Caenorhabditis elegans: one gene and its partner. The protein of the gene in region 2 interacts with the protein of the main gene of each other region in a pairwise test. Each region holds a gene or a part of one and is shown on either strand. Other genes may lie near its edges.

What was found.
Region 1: the proteins of F54D5.9 (region 2) and skr-2 interact in a two-hybrid assay, tested with the Caenorhabditis elegans proteins (3 studies listed by BioGRID).

Annotation. Positions count from the first base shown.
Region 1 is NC_003279.8:9,463,638-9,471,137, forward strand, and holds skr-2 (Skp1-related protein), read left to right. Parts: upstream 1-6,016; 5' UTR 6,017-6,066; coding exon 6,067-6,147; intron 6,148-6,328; coding exon 6,329-6,598; intron 6,599-6,643; coding exon 6,644-6,817; 3' UTR 6,818-7,000; downstream 7,001-7,500. Other genes in the region: twk-29 (Potassium channel domain-containing protein), read left to right, coding at 1,242-1,361, 1,446-1,694, 2,250-2,322, 3,040-3,379, 3,683-3,750, 4,396-4,486, 4,626-4,821, 4,869-5,085 and 1 more.
Region 2 is NC_003280.10:11,540,123-11,548,756, forward strand, and holds F54D5.9 (F-box domain-containing protein), read right to left. Parts: upstream 4,707-8,634; 5' UTR 4,650-4,706; coding exon 4,502-4,649; intron 4,454-4,501; coding exon 4,247-4,453; intron 4,199-4,246; coding exon 4,022-4,198; intron 3,968-4,021; coding exon 3,326-3,967; intron 3,273-3,325; coding exon 3,009-3,272; intron 2,949-3,008; coding exon 2,689-2,948; 3' UTR 2,514-2,688; downstream 1-2,513. Other genes in the region: dhgd-1 (D-2-hydroxyglutarate dehydrogenase, mitochondrial), read right to left, coding at 1-242, 316-508; gtf-2E2 (Transcription initiation factor IIE subunit beta), read right to left, coding at 704-1,021, 1,671-1,958, 2,009-2,100, 2,148-2,241, 2,291-2,368; dnj-13 (DnaJ homolog subfamily B member 13), read left to right, coding at 5,592-5,729, 5,935-6,662, 6,720-6,849; F54D5.7 (putative glutaryl-CoA dehydrogenase, mitochondrial), read left to right, coding at 7,403-7,448, 7,775-7,915, 7,971-8,286, 8,337-8,634.

The DNA of each region.
Region 1 (7,500 bases), on a different chromosome or scaffold from region 2:
ATCATACGCCAAAAGTCACTGCATTTGTATCTAAAGATGCTTCCGCATTTGTTTTTTGTTTTCTTTAGCTCATTCGACTTTTGAATAATTTTTTTGGAAAACATCTAACTGGAAAGTTTCAGATAAAGACAGAAAGAAAAAAATGTCGGAAAGATTCTGAAAAATCAACAACTATCAAACTGGCTTCAAGGACTGTTGCTCCACCGTTCAGAATGTCGCTTCTCCTGTTCTTCGGGCTTGGACGGGTTTGTTTTGATTTTGTTTTAAATTTTATATGTTTAGTTGAATAGGGATTTTTCTTTAAAGTATTAAAAAATAATCTGAAAAAATCCTTTGTTCCACAAAGACAAGCGAAACAAATCGCGAACGATTGAGCAACTCAATAAGTAAAAATGGGACTTTTGTAAGATTTTCTAATCTTCTCGTCTGAATTTCCACCAAAAAAGAAGCCATGTCCACGCTCCAACCAATCAACATTTCCGAACTCCGTCTCATTGGTTGAGAAGTAGGCGCGGCTAATCACTGATTGGTCTTGTAGGTATCTTTTTGGATGAAATTCAGACAGACGATTAGTCAAAGTTTTATGTGTTTAGTGCTTATACTTGATTTTCATCCCTTCCCGATCGATTTTTTGTTCTTCCTTTGTGGTATATCTGAATTTTAGTTATATATTTCACAACAAAATCTTCATTTTCTATTCCATCTTGAGGGATTAATTAATAAAAAATGTATTCGAAAAAAAAATTAGATTTAAAAACTTAACGTTGTCTAATACGTTCAAGATTATATGCCAAGTTGCCACTAAAATATAATTCCTACTGAACGATAGCACCTGCTCTCGGATGGTGAGTTGAATTTCAATGTCTGAGTTAGCTTGGTAATTTTTGTAAGCAAAGTTTGATGAGACGGAAGAAAATATTCACATTGTGCAATGACTCATGAAACACCACGTGGAATCTTCTCTGCTCTCCAAAAACGTCATCAGTCAGTCCATCAAATTGTCCGAAATCTGGTTGAATCTATCTCCAATCCGAAATGTATCCGCTCGAAGTGATTTTTGCATGACGACTCGGACAGACTTGTCACTCCTTTCTCCGCCTCTTTCTCTTTCCGAGACATCTCTTTCACTTGTATACAAATTCATTTTCCCTCTCTCTTTCTTTCTTCCCAAGGACTCTAGTTTTGCTCCTTTGCACCCTAAATATTATGGGCCGACGGTAGAATACCACGAACATCGAATCATGAGATTGGACGAAGACGATGATGATTTAAAGAAATGTAATGGTGTAAATGAAGAAGATATATTGAAAGCTTTTTTAGAAGAAGACTTTAATTCTCAACATTATGATTCCATATGGGAGGTATTTGTTTTTAAAATTTTCAATTTACCAGTATTCCATAAATGTTCAATAAGATTAAAATCTACTCGATATGAATACTTTCAGTGCCTTCAACACAATCGAAGAGCAATAGCCGTCAATGGATTCATTATAGTCTTTCTGATAATTTACACAACAATTGGAGGATTCATATTTTTAAATTTTGAGTTTGAATACCAGCAATATATGAAACAAAATGCGACACTGGAAAAACGATTGTGTATTGAATCCTTGTTAAATCGGGACAATCGATTACGTCTTACACGGGCTTCTGATGTTGCTGCTGCAATTGCAGAGAGGTGTCTGACAGAAAATGTAAGTTGGATTTTTGTTTTCAAATAAGATAATATAGGCCAGTGAAACACAGTCAAAAAGTCTGAAATATGTAAACTTACAGTACACTTTTCCCATTTGTTAGTAGTTTCAATGGGGAATTTACTCCAACATTCTGAAATATTAGGCAAAAAAAACCAATAATCCAATTTTAAGAACTATAATTCTCTACTCTGATTATAAATCTGAATTTTTACAAAATGAGAACTCCACGACTAATCAGAATTCAACTTAGCCCACAACTGGACCAATCGAATGAAATGGGCAAAATACCTGATTGGTTTGAACGTGGGCGGAGCAAATTGCTGATTGGTCTTGCAGTTCTCATATTGGAGGAATTTAAAACAAGGGTTTTAATAGTTCTATTTTTTTCATAATCCTCATTCACGAAAACGCTGTGAAAAATCAAGTTCCCGTTAAGAAGGATTTTCTAGAAACTTTCAATTTTTTAAAGATGTCGTCGTTGTTGCGGTATGTGCCTGTCAATATTAGTTTAAATTGTTCTGGAGATCACTTTTTTTAGAAATTTGTTTGCAGGTCAAAGACGATCGTATGCAATGGTCATTCAAATCTGCAGCTCTCTACTCTCTTGGAATTTTGACAACTTTGGGTTAGTTTTTGAGTTGAGAAAAGATTCAAATGGGAGTTGAAAGGAAGCGGTCACACACTCGCCAACTGAGTGATGACTTGGACAAATGGATCCTCCTGAGGGATTGAAAAGGCCAAAAAGACAAGACAAAAATGCAAATGTACTTGAGACAAAAGCCTTTTTTCCAGTATTTTGCGGGTAAAAATTTGCTTCTCTGAAAAGGAATATTGAGGGGAAAAGGGAATTAAGTTTTGAGACATTTGTCAAAACAAAACTTTTTTTTCGAAAATTTCAAAATCTGGTTGGAGACACATAATCCACTTCAACTCAATTGTATATAAACATGACTGGGCAAAAAAAAGAACAAATGAGCAGAATCTGAACAATCATAAAGAAAACTGAACTATAGTTTCTTAAAGGACAGGGATGATATAGAAATTTGGCTCTTTCCTGCAAATATCAAGACATTTCTAATCTGAGGGTTTTGGGATTATATTTTTGTTTTCACGCTAATATGTTTCCTATTTTCTACAAAAATCTGGAAAAAGTTGGAGTTGCTCTCATCTATCTTCTTGGAATGTCTGTAAACAAAAACCAAGAAAAGAAAACCCATTACTTTTGTCTGACAATATATTATAGATCAGCAAAAAGTTTTGTTTTAAATAATTTGATCGTCTTTTCCAGATAATAATAATGTGGTTTCATCTACTTTTTTAAATAAAAACAGTTTAATTTCAGGGTATGGAAAAATAGAGCCTCAAACAATCAATGGACGTATTTCAACAGTGATCTACGGATTTTTTGGAATCCCTCTAACTGTCATTCTCTTGACAAATTTTGGAAGATATTTAGAGGCAATGGCAACAAGGTTTAGAAGACTTATTTCATGTAGAAGACGTCGGGAAGATGAAGATGAAAATGTATCTGGAAGTACATTATTTTTTATTGTACTCGTTTATCTTATACTTGGTGCAACAATGATTCCATTGATGAGTGGACAATTTGACTTTTTCAATGGAATTTATTATGCGTTCATTTGCTTGACAGCTATCGAATATGGAGATATTATTCCTCAAAAGTGGGTGTTTTATACAAGAATTATATACTGAAATTTAAATTTGTCTCGTACAAACACTCCACTGCCACAACTTATATTTCTGTCCATTTAACATTTTTCTGATATTTTTTAAAGTTAAAAACAAAATTATAGTAGAAGAACTAATTAAAATTTTATCAGTTGATAAATTTTTGATGGACCTAAAGACAACCGATATATTGGTTACCAAAAAGTGCTATGAGTGTGCAAGACTAATAAAGCTATTATGATACACAACCTTCAGTCGAGAACTACAAACATTTCAAAATTTGAAATTTTTTGCAGCAATTGGTTCTTACCTATCAGTGTTTTCTACATGTGCACGGGACTTGCCATATCAACTATTGCTTTAGGTAAGTCATCAATAAACACCGACCTTCTAATGGTGGAACTTTCAGCTATTTTTCGGTACTAGAAATGCATCTACAGGCCATATAGAGTCTAGAGTACATTTGAATTGAAAAATAATTCGCGGATAGTGGCATAACTTTGCAAAAAACAATTCAGAAACAACTTCAAAAAAGCCCCCAGTTGTCTCACTAAGCAACCAATTTTAGTTTCATATGGCCTTTCTCAGTCAAGAGCGAGTCACGGCAACCTGGTCCAAAACCATTCCCAATTAGTAAATCATAACTAAATAGCTTAATATCATTGCTAATTAGCCTCTTTTTGCTAATTAACGATGTTTTTTTGCTAGTTAGCAATGATTTTGAGCTATTTAGTTATGTTTACTAATTAGGAATGGTTTTGGACCAGGTTGCCGTGACTCGCTCTTGACTGAGTTGAGAAATTTTTGTTGAAAAACATTTCTATAATACAATACTTTATCAAAAGTTAAAAACACATTTTGTTATACGAAGCTCATGAAATAATTCAGACTTAACTTGAAGTCCTTTTAGTAAATTGATTTTTCGCCTTTTTTCTGGAGCATGTTTACATGGTATTCCCGTGGGGACCATTTAATCATATCCAAATATTACAAACAAGAATTTTTTCAGATATTGGATCAATTTATGTTCGAAAGCTACATTTTATTGGCAAAAAAATAAAAAACATTGCCAACATTCGGATTTGGTTCGGTGCCAGGAAGTGGGTTTGGCAAAGGAGACGTAAATTGTTTCATTTGGTTCTAAAACTTTTAGCTACGATTTGTTTCTATAACAACGTTCTCTATTTTTGTCAAAAAGCTTTTAATTAAAGAAAATAATTGTATCGCTAATATTTTTAGTTTGGAAGTACGAGAACTCATCACAGCAGTTGGACAGAATATTGGAATTGATCAGAATGTGATAGCAGACATAGATATTGATACATTGGTTAAAACAGCAATTCAAGTGAAATTGGGAAGACTTTCAAGAGTTCCTCAAACACATATGATTGTTGAGGGAATATGGCCTCCAGAACTTGTTCCTCTTTTTATGAAAGTGAGATATTTGAAACTTTATAGTATTCGAAGAAAATAATGTTTCAGGATGGTCAATTCCCACTTTTTGTCGATTCGGAAGATGATCTCACTGATATGAGGCCTAAGAAATTTTCAGTTCATTTTGAAGATGAACCAATGATGTCTGAAATAGAGGATACATCTGATTCTGAAACAGCTGCTGATAAATCACAAACCACATCGTCCCGATTGTCTCCAATTCCACGCCGAAGAGCAATGCAAGCCAAATTGAATGGTTCAACTGGTATGTTATCTAGAATTGAAGTGAATGGGAATTTTTAACGAAATCAATTTCAGACTCAGATCAAGCTTGCCACGACGGCGTTATGAATGTTTCAACAACTATCACCTCTGATCTTTCTACAGATGCATAGCATTTTGTTTTTTCTTCTTTTCTTAAATCTCAAATAAATACTTTTTAAAAATTTCTTTAAAAAAATAGACATAAACAAAACATATATAACTTTTCCCAGCTACATTATTACATTTTACAGCATTATTATTTTTGTGAAGTCGGTAGATCGAATATTTAAAATTGATAATACAATTTTATTATATAAAACTCAATTTTATTTACTATCTCTCGAAGAAACTGCGCCCGCAGAAGGAATTCAATTTCTTTAAAGTTTTCAAAAAGTTACGGTAAACTATTCCGTAAACACCGCGACATAAAAATGCACACTTTCTCTTTCCTAATTTTATATAAAATTTATAATTTTAGTTTTCTTCGAGAAAGAAACAAACAATCGTCACTTGCTTTTCGAAGAGTTGTTCATTCAACGACTTTCTTTTTTGTCTTCAAATATTTTTTGTTGCGATTTCTATTTCTTGTGAATCGTCTCAATGTATAGATGGATGATTGAAGCTTGAGTATTTAAATTATCCAGAATTGAAATGTTTTCACATACAGGTGTGCTTGATTGTTTTGTAGTTTGAGCATCAACCAAATTCGAAATATATTCAAATACAATTTTTCTGGCTAAAATTTTTCGATGACTACCAATAAGTAGCAGATTTTTATTGACGTTGAGAATTCATTCCAGTATCTTTTTCCTGTATTCTCAATCATTCTTCTTATTATTTTAGTTATAGTTTTTCTATTTTGCAGATATTCTGATAGAATTCCAACGAAACCATTGCTTTGTTTTTTCCGCGTGGTTTTTGTACACTTCTCTCGTTAGTGACCCTGTCACAACTAATTTTAATTCCAGTCAACTACAACACGATGGCTGACCAAAAGGAAGCATCCGAAGCAGCAAAGAACCGCGAAATCAAGATCTCGTCTTCGGATGATGAAATCTTCTTGGTAAGCTGAAATTCGTTTGTTATTGTCATTTTTATCTGAAAAACTAGGCTTCGGGTCGATAAGACGCTTTCGCAGTTCTTATAGAAAATGTTTAGTAGCCTAGTTGATTTTTAATAAATCAACAAAAAAAGCGGCACTGTACGCTAGATGGCATGGGAAAAATTGCAATCTGAACTTCCAGGTCCCACGCAATGTGATCCGTCTCTCAAACACTCTCAACACTCTTCTTGTGGACCTCGGGCTCGACGACGATGAAGGAACCAACGCTGAGCCAATTCCAGTGCAAAACGTCACTGCCTCGATTTTGAAGAAGGTTATCAACTGGTGCACCAAACACCAGTCCGACCCAATTCCAACTGAAGACAGTGAGAAGAAAACGGATGGTTCCATCCAAGACTGGGACAAAAAATTTCTCGATATTGACCAAGGAACCCTTTTCGAGCTCATTTTGGTAACTTGTTATTTTAGTTGCAATATTTTAAATTCCTATTTTCAGGCTGCCAACTATTTGGACATCAAAGGACTTCTTGATGTCGCCTGCCAGTCTGTCGCCAACATGATCAAGGGAAAATCTCCAGATGAAATTCGTCGTGCTTTCAACATCAAGGACGACTTCACTGCAGAGGAGAGAGAGCAAATCCGTAAGGAAAACGCCTGGTGCGATGATTAAATCTCCATCTTTTCCCCTGTTAAACTTTCAATTACCTTGTTTTCTAAATGTTTCACATCATCCACCATATCTTTCCCCTTATTAAACGCACTTTTTAATTGTTAACAAATTTCTTCACTGCCAGCTGACACAACTGTGTACAGTTCTGTTTTTCATTCAATAAAGTTGATGTGAACATGAAAATTGCAAACAATGCAATTGGTTTTAAAGCCACAGCAATAGTATTTTTTAGTCTGAACAGGACTATAGATCCTTCACTTTTGAAATGGAAGATGACGAGATGTGAAATTCTAGGCCAAAGTTGCTTCGTTTTCCGCGCGCGTAGATTTCGAAATAAATAAAAAAACAATACTTTTCTCAGTTTTAAAAGCTACGGATCGTGTGAATGAAAATTACTTTCTGTGATTAATTGCGAATGGGGTTATTCAAGTAATGTATTTACATGACTTTATCGCATATTGCGCCTGACGCTGCTAAATCCCCGCATTTAACTGAAAGTTGCGATATCTTTAAAACGAGATCTATTTTTTCCATTTCTTTCATTTTTTTTTTCCTGATATTCTCCTTTTTCTATCTATCAAAAATCGAGTGCCGATATTCGCTGAAAAGACTATATTATGTACGCCGTCCGCTCTCTTTTTAATTTTATATAATTAAAAAACATTATCTCTGAATATCTGCAA
Region 2 (8,634 bases):
GTCCAAGTCTTCCAGAATAAAACCAGAATCACACTTGAGAATTCCCATTGTGTCGTCGAAAGAGAATTGCTTGTTGATTTTATTCATTGATATAACAACTTCATCATGTACTGGAATTGATCCACCAACGAGTCCTGTATTCCCTCCTTGTGGGACTACTGCCAATTTGTTCTTGGAGCAATACGCCAATATTGCAGAAACCTCTTCGGTGCTCTTCGGGTAGAGGACGACACTGCCAGGACCTGGAAATTAAAACATTTAATATTTAAAGTACCTATTTAATATTAAATAAACCTAATCTTAAAATACAAATACCTTTAAATTGGCCTGTCCAATCTGTAGTATGATTTGTAATATCGTCCTTCTTCACTGCATCTTGCCCGAGAAAATTCTCAAATGCCATTAAATCCGACTGCATCACTTTTGCAAATCCTTCATGTCTGGCGGCAAGAACTGCTGCGTAGCTTCTAGTTGGTCTTCTGATTCGTGGCAAGATTTTCAGAAACATCTGAATTCAGAAACTTTTCAAAAAATAACTTGAAACTTCAAAAGAAATAGTAGGAGACAAAGCTCGGCTAGGTGACCGATTTGCCGAAAACAATAAGAAAACAAACGGCTGGGCAGTGATAAGAAAAAGAGACAGAAGAGATACAAATGATCATAGTTCATTTTATGTACTGTTAACAGAAGTGTGTAATTAAAATCATTCGTAATCCTCCAAAACTCCGTCCATATGCTCGTTTTGTACTTTTTGATTGAACCGTCTCTTCGCGGCTTTTCTTTTCAGTGGAGCCTGCATTCGAACCTTCGGCGTCAGATCCTTCATCGCGTCGAGACCCTTCTTCTGGAGATATTCTTCGATTTTCTTCTCATCCAAATGATCCACAGACACGTGTCTCCACAAGGCTTTGAAATCGTCTTCGAGCTCTGGGAATGTGAATTCTTTGTCATTGTAGAAGACGACTCGATCCTTTTTCTTATTGACTTGTGTCGGAACAACGATCACTTCAGAGGATACTTGCTGGAAAAATTTAATTTAATATTTCACAAAATTGCTCCTTTTTTATACTTTGATTTTTTCAGTTTGACAAATTTAAAAATTCTGATTTTTAATCAAAATTAACCCTAAATACCCTAGTTTTTGAAAAGTTATAATGAGAATATTCTGCCTTCAAAAATGTTTTTCCTTTGAAAATTTTTTAAGGAAAAAGGTTTTATGCTGGAAAAGTGTAATAATTTTTTTTTACTTTATTAAATATATTTTTTCAAACCTTTTTTTTATCGATTTCAATGTTTTTTTGTGGAATATTTAACTTATGGGATCGAAAATGATCAAAATTATTCGTGTAAAAATTGAAAAATAACGTTAATTTGTTCAAAAGTCTGAAAATAAAGTAATTTCTGAATTTTATTTTATAAATTTTCAACACATTTTATCTTTTTTGTGAATTTATATATTTAATTTTCAATTTATTTCAATTTGAAAATCAAAAAAAAACACATTGTTGAATACTCAGAAATTCTAAAAGATCTAATTCATCACAAACTCAAATTTTAATTACTACGAAAAATAAGCCGCTGATAATTTTAAAATCAATTTTACTAATTTTTAGCTGAAATTTTTGAAAAATAAAAACTTTATTTTTGTTATAAATTATTCAAATTCCCACCTGCAGTAGTGCATCATAATTAGCCACACACTCAGCCAAATCCGACACAAGAATTCCACCTTTTCCGTCCTGATAATGTTTCCTCGCGACAGCTACCAACGAAGTTTTTCCTTTAATTTTGTAAGGTGGTCGAAATGCGAATTTTTCGGATTCCATTATCAGTCGAGGATTGTTTGGTAATGCTTCTTGAAGGAAAGCAAGACTTCTTTTTGAAAGATCAAAAATTTGAAGTTCATCGAGAATTTCTTGAAGTGTCAACGGCCATTGTTGATTGTTTAGGTGGCGTTTCTGCAATTAACTGTTTTTAACTCGAAAATTTCGCTTTAAAATATAAATACCTTCATATAATCCACAATTTTCGCCATTGTACTGAAATTTGTGGCATTTGATAACGCATTGGCGTTGCTCACGGAATTATTGAAATCTGGGACTGAAAATTCCGTTTTCAGAAACTAATATTACATTTTAACAACTAACGTTTCGACAAATTTTGAGCCGGTCCAGAGCTTTTCTTCTTTTTCGCTTTTGCTGCTTCTGAAGAGTATGTTGTGTGTGAATTTGGTGCTGTTGTCTTAAAAAATCGATAAATTCAATATTTTTTTAATTTTTAAAGTTCTCACAGGCTTATTCTGAACAGCCATCGTTGTTGCAGCATGCTTCTGGAAAGCAGTTCGCTGCCTTAACAATTCCGGATCCATTTTTGCTTAAACGAAAACCTTTCGAAACAATGAAGAGTACTCTCTTAAGAGTGAAAATCGATGATGGAAGAGGTTTTTCAAGGCCAGTGGCCGGCAAATAATGGTGGCAGGGGGCTGAACCCTGTAGTAAACAATAAAGTGAATTAGTTTTCGCTGATTTTATCAGAATGAGAAAGATGGAACAAGGAGTGAAAGGAGCTTTAAATTTGAACAATTAAAATTAAAATTAAAGTGAAAGTAAAAGTAAAAGAAAACAAAAACAAAACTAATTCTACAGTTGGAAGCTATTTTCAAAATTTTCTAGACAGATAAAACATGATTTATTCCAGCTGCTCCTCTTCTTCTAGTGGATCATTGACGAGTTCAGCAGCTAGGTCATTTGGAAGCTGGAAGCCTATTTGGTGAAGAACCACTGTGTTTGATATATCCGTCAACAGGCGAGCCATTGAGAGCTGACCGTCGAGCTCTTCGCGGATCTTTTCAGAACACTCGGTTGTGTTTGTCGCGTTCTTTACCATTTCCTTCAACCGTGAACTTTGAACGTTCCAAATCTTTTCGAGAAAAGCTTTGTAGCAACCGTCTGTAATAATAATAATATTCGTTATTTCTCGCACCGAAAAGATGACAGAACGCCGCTCACCGTAATGACCATCGAGTTGCGCAAGATGATTGAATGCGTGGTGCAGTGGTTCGGCGAGAAACGTGGCAGGTGCAGCCGACCAACGATAAAGATGGTTGCGTACGAGACACACCATCTCCGCGGCTTCATTCTGGAGAGTTTCATAGTCGTCGCGGCGAGGATCGAGACAGGTGACAAGATATTCGCTGAGCAATCCTGAAGAATCAATGGCCAGCGCCATAGAAGATGAGGTCTCAGACCAAAAGCCTTGTACTTCGCAAACTTCTGAAAATTAAAAAGCTATTAAAAATTAAAAATATTAAAAAAAAAAATATTACCAATGATCCGGAGGAAAAGCTGATAAAGTTTCTTCCCGCTCCACATTTGGTCCGAACTCTTGGAATTATTCATGATGCGAAGAGCGCGGATTCCATTGAGCAACGTTGACAGCAATTTCCTATAGTTTGGCTCACTCTTCCGCAAAGTGAAGGTATCTGAATCGTCCTCACAGAAATACGCCCAGTCGACGCGTTCGCCAATTCTTGAAGATCTTGTTGGTCCGAATAGGATGTAATAGAACTTTCCCTGATATTTTTCAATTACGTTTCGGATCAGAACAGACAACCAGGAGCCAAACTCGATAATCTCCTGTGGAGAAGCTTCATCGATGTCTTGACTCAAGTTGAGGAAGAGTTGGGTCAACCCGGAACGAACTTTCATCTCGAGACCTATCAACTGGCCCGGTTTAGCAGTAAGAACCTTGATAATCGAAGGACGGAGATCAGCGTCGATCATGATTGCAGCTTTTACCATTATACGACGTTCAGAGAACTTCCAATTGTGCGTTATCGTTTCCAGGAGTCTTCCAAAACCATGAAGGGAGCCTCCGAGTTGATCACGCAAATTCCGGCAGATGTTCAGGAAGACTTGAGCGCGGATCTTTGTGTTCATTGTGATCGTGATGGATTTGATGAGGCCACCTGTTAAAATACATTTAGATTTATAAACGAAAATAAAAATATTGCAACACTAACCACATGCAGTGAAAGGATCATTCTCTAAGAATTCTTCATCGTCGGGGCGGAGTGAGCTATTGAGAAAGTCAAGATTATCCAATTGCATTCGACGGAAAAAATCGTGGGTTGAAACGTAGGTTTTGACTCGTGAGCACAACTTTGTGGATGTCAGTGAAAGCGCATTAATGGATTGCACTGAAAAATGTGAATGTTAAAATTTCTGATCAGTACTTCACAACTAACTGTCAAGAATTGTGAAAATATGCGAATAGGCTCTATTCGGCAGGTTTTCCAAGCCCACTGGTGCATCTGGAGATGGCACACATTTCGAGGAAAATTTGACAGGAACACCTAAAAGTGCTCGCAAATCCTCCAAGGAGTACAAAAGCCCATTGTCTGGTGAATCGGTATGAGAGGTTTGAGATAAGTTGTTGGGAGCTTCGAAACTTTCTGAAAATCAAGAAAATTAATTTTAAATTAAAAGAAAAATTGTCGTACCGTCCAACTTCTGGCATACGTTTTTCGATTCAGAGCTTGAACGTTCCCGTTTTACTGTTGCAAAGAACTTCGTGATTGGGGGCGTCGAATCGGAATTTCTTCGCTTTCTAGCCAACAATCGGAACGGTGGCTCGGTTCGCCGAAACATTTTTATACGAAAAATACTTTAAAATCAGAGGAAAATACTTTGGGACCGGTGAAAAAGCATGGAGGTTCGCACAAACTTGTTTAGGAAAACAGAAATATGTCTCCGTGGCAGGACCATACTGTGCGCCGTTGATGTCCCTTTGATACAGTACTCTTCGCATTATTTATTTTTTTTCGGCGCGCCTAGGGGTTTTCGAGCGCAGAGTTCAGGAGGCCTTCTGGATTATGGATAGAGGCTTGATTTTTAAAATTGTTTAATTCAATACAGTTTTATTAAAGTTTTTTCTAAAAATCTTTTCTAAAAATAATATCTGATTGCTGTTTATACACGAGAACAAAACTAATTTCATGGAAACAATTTTTTCTCTTTATTTTCTCTTCGAATAATTTAAATTTTAACAATTCAGGTTTTAAATAATCAATTTTTAAATAAGCAAGTGAATTTTAAGCATAACTTTTCTTCCTAGTGTACGTAAATCATTCTTTCCAACAAACATATTTTTTCGTGACGAAACTTCGCCTTCCAGAATATTCTTTTTTCAGAAAATAAATACCAAAAAGCACAATTTCTTATCTCTTGCTCATTCTTTTCTTTGTATCGTGCTCATGCTTTTATTCATTCCTCATTTTTATCTTGCGAAACCAATGTATTTTCAATAAAAAAAACGAGTGATGCATGTGCGCTCCACCGGCCGACGGAAGATCGAACATGCACTGCGCTTCGCGAGTAAATAGAACGCTCTGGAAAGTTCCGCACTCTTCTCTCTCATGATTCGGCGCACTCTCTCTTCCATTTCTCCGTGTTTCCTCTTCTGATGTTGACCCATATTTATTCTGCCGGGTGTATTCTTTTTATCTATCTGTTGCTTCATTTATTCCGTTAACCTGTTACTGGTTAATATTTCAAAAATTCATATGATTTCTTTTCAGATTACTTTCCACAATGGGAAAAGACTACTACAAAGTGCTGGGCATCAGCAAAGGTGCAACAGACGATGAAATCAAAAAGGCTTATCGTAAAATGGCTTTGAAATACCATCCGGATAAGAATAAGGAAGCTGGAGCTGAGAACAAATTCAAGGTATTTTTTAAAATTTAGTTTTCTAATTTAAAAAAAAGTTTTTGGTCCTCGGTGAAGGATACTGTACTTTTCATGACCAAGTTGTTATTTTTAAGCACTCGATTTAAAAACGATTTTAATCAAAATATAGAAAATCCCAGTAAAATTGCAGTTTTTCTGGGAATTTATTGATGTTAACCTGAAATAATATTTTTTTTAATTACAGGAAATTGCCGAAGCTTACGATGTTCTTTCCGATGATAAGAAAAAGAAGATTTACGATCAATTCGGAGAGGAAGGACTAAAGGAAGGTGGACCAGGAGCCGGAGGTGGTGGCGGCGGTGGAATGCACTACGAATTCCGTGGAGACCCAATGAACATTTTCTCATCATTCTTTGGAGGATCCGATCCGTTCGGTGCTGGTGGACCTGGAATGTTTGATCTTGGTGGTGGAGCCGGAGGCCCGAATATGTTCTTCATGAATCAAGGTGGTATGGATGACGGTATGTTCGGCGGCATGCATCAAGGTGGAAGACGTGGACATGCTCGTCAAGATCCTGCTGTGCTCCATGATCTTTCTGTCAGTTTGGAGGATGTACTGAAAGGTACAACGAAGAAGATGAAGATTACAAGAAAAGTTATGACGGACAATGCTCAACGCCTAGAAGACAAAGTTTTGACGGTCACTATTAAACCAGGATGGAAGTCAGGCACAAAGATCACATTCCCAAAAGAAGGTGATCAGCACCCGAACAGAACTCCCGCCGACATAGTCTTCGTCATCAAGGATAAGCCACACCCGAAATTCAAGCGAGAGGGATCTGACATCAAACGCGTCGAAAAGATCTCCCTGAAGTCTGCATTGACTGGCCTTGATATTATGATTCCAACGTTGGATGGAGCAGACTACCGTCTTCAATTGAACGATGTCATTAAGCCGGGAACTACAAGACGGTAGGTTAAAAATTTTGAGATTCACGAGAAGTAAATTATTAATTTTAATTCTTTCAGGCTGACTGGAAAAGGACTTCCAAATCCAAAGTCTCCATCTCACAGAGGAGATTTAATCATTGAGTTTGACGTGGAATTCCCATCACAACTCAATCCAACTCAACGGGAAGTGATTCTGAGGAACTTCTAATCGCATTTTTCAATTTTCCCTCTCTTGCTTATCAATCAACTACAGTCGAACCAAGACGGGTAAACAATCACTCTTGATTGCCATTGGATTCGATTTAGCAGTATTCAGTCGCCTTGTTCGATGTTTTCAAGCGGGTATTTAAGAGATTTTTTATTAGGATGTTGTTCTTTTTATCACCCATGTTTCATTGTTAATTACCCATCTCACACATATTGCCCATAGTTATTCAGATGCATTTTTTATCGTTTATCAAGTCTCATTCTAATGACATGAAAACCTTCATTGACAAGATACTCGGTGTAATTGTATCCCCCCTCAACCGCCCCCTCTTTCAATTTTAATTCGTGCTTCCTTATCAACATTTCCGATAAATAAACTTTTAAATTAAAGCAAAAGAAAGTTTTGTGATTTTCGTGTGTTCAGTTGATCTGTCTCCTCATCGTATCGATTGTCTTGTCCTTGGCCACGTGGGGGTAAAAGATGATATCGGGCGTTGAAAGAAAGGAGATGAGGGCACACCATCATCATTCTTTACCAGTTTGCAGCGGCAAAAATGCTGACCAGAGGATTCACGTCAATTGGCAAGATTGCAAGTAGAGGTAATTAATGTTTCAGTTAATATTTAAGGCTGGTGTAGTCGAATTTAATTAAGACTGCTGTAAAAATACAATAAAAACCGCAACAATCACCTAAAATTAGCCGAAAACAATAATCAACATATTAATTATATGATTGTCCGAGAGGAGTACACGCAGAGGGCGCTCGTTCGCGCGCGAAGTTCAAAAAATTTAGAATTATTCGCTATTTCGAAGCCATAACTCACGTTAACGAAATTTTTGTGATGTATCGTTTTTACATATCGTCTAAATTCGACTACACCCAAAAAATTATTCTCAAACTTGAGCTCACCCTCCAAATATTTCAGGTCTCTCGTCGACGTTCTACCAAGATGCTTTCCAGCTTTCGGATCAGCTCACTGAAGACGAAAGATCTTTGATGCTCTCGGCTCGGGAATACTGTCAGGAGCGACTTTTGCCACGTGTCACAGAAGCTTACAGAACTGAAAGTGAGACACTCCATACCGAATTCTTATTTAATTTTACCATAGTCTTGATTTCCAGAATTCGACCCATCCCTGATTCCGGAAATGGGAAGTATGGGCCTGTTGGGCGCCCCATATCAAGGATACGGCTGCGCTGGAACATCAACTGTTGGCTATGGACTCATCGCTCGTGAGGTGGAACGAGTCGATTCGGGATACAGATCTACGATGAGTGTGCAAACGAGTCTGGTGATCGGACCGATCTACAACTACGGAAGTGAGGATCAGAAGCAGAAATATATTCCCGATTTGGCGAGTGGAAAGAAGATCGGATGCTTCGGATTGACCGAGCCGAATCATGGATCTAATCCAGGAGGAATGGAGACAAAGGCCACGTAAGTCTAGAAAATATTTGATTCATTTTCAAAACTCTTGTGTTTTTCAGCTGGGATGAGACCACAAAAACCTACAAATTGAATGGATCGAAGACTTGGATCTCCAACAGCCCTGTCTCTGATGTGATGGTCGTTTGGGCGAGAAGTGCTCGCCACAACAATAAAATCAAGGGATTCATCCTGGAACGTGGAATGAAGGGACTGACGACTCCAAAAATTGAAGGAAAACTTTCATTGAGAGCCTCGATCACTGGACAGATTGCAATGGATGATGTTCCAGTACCAGAGGAGAATCTTCTCCCGAACGCTGAAGGGCTTCAAGGACCATTCGGATGCCTGAATAACGCA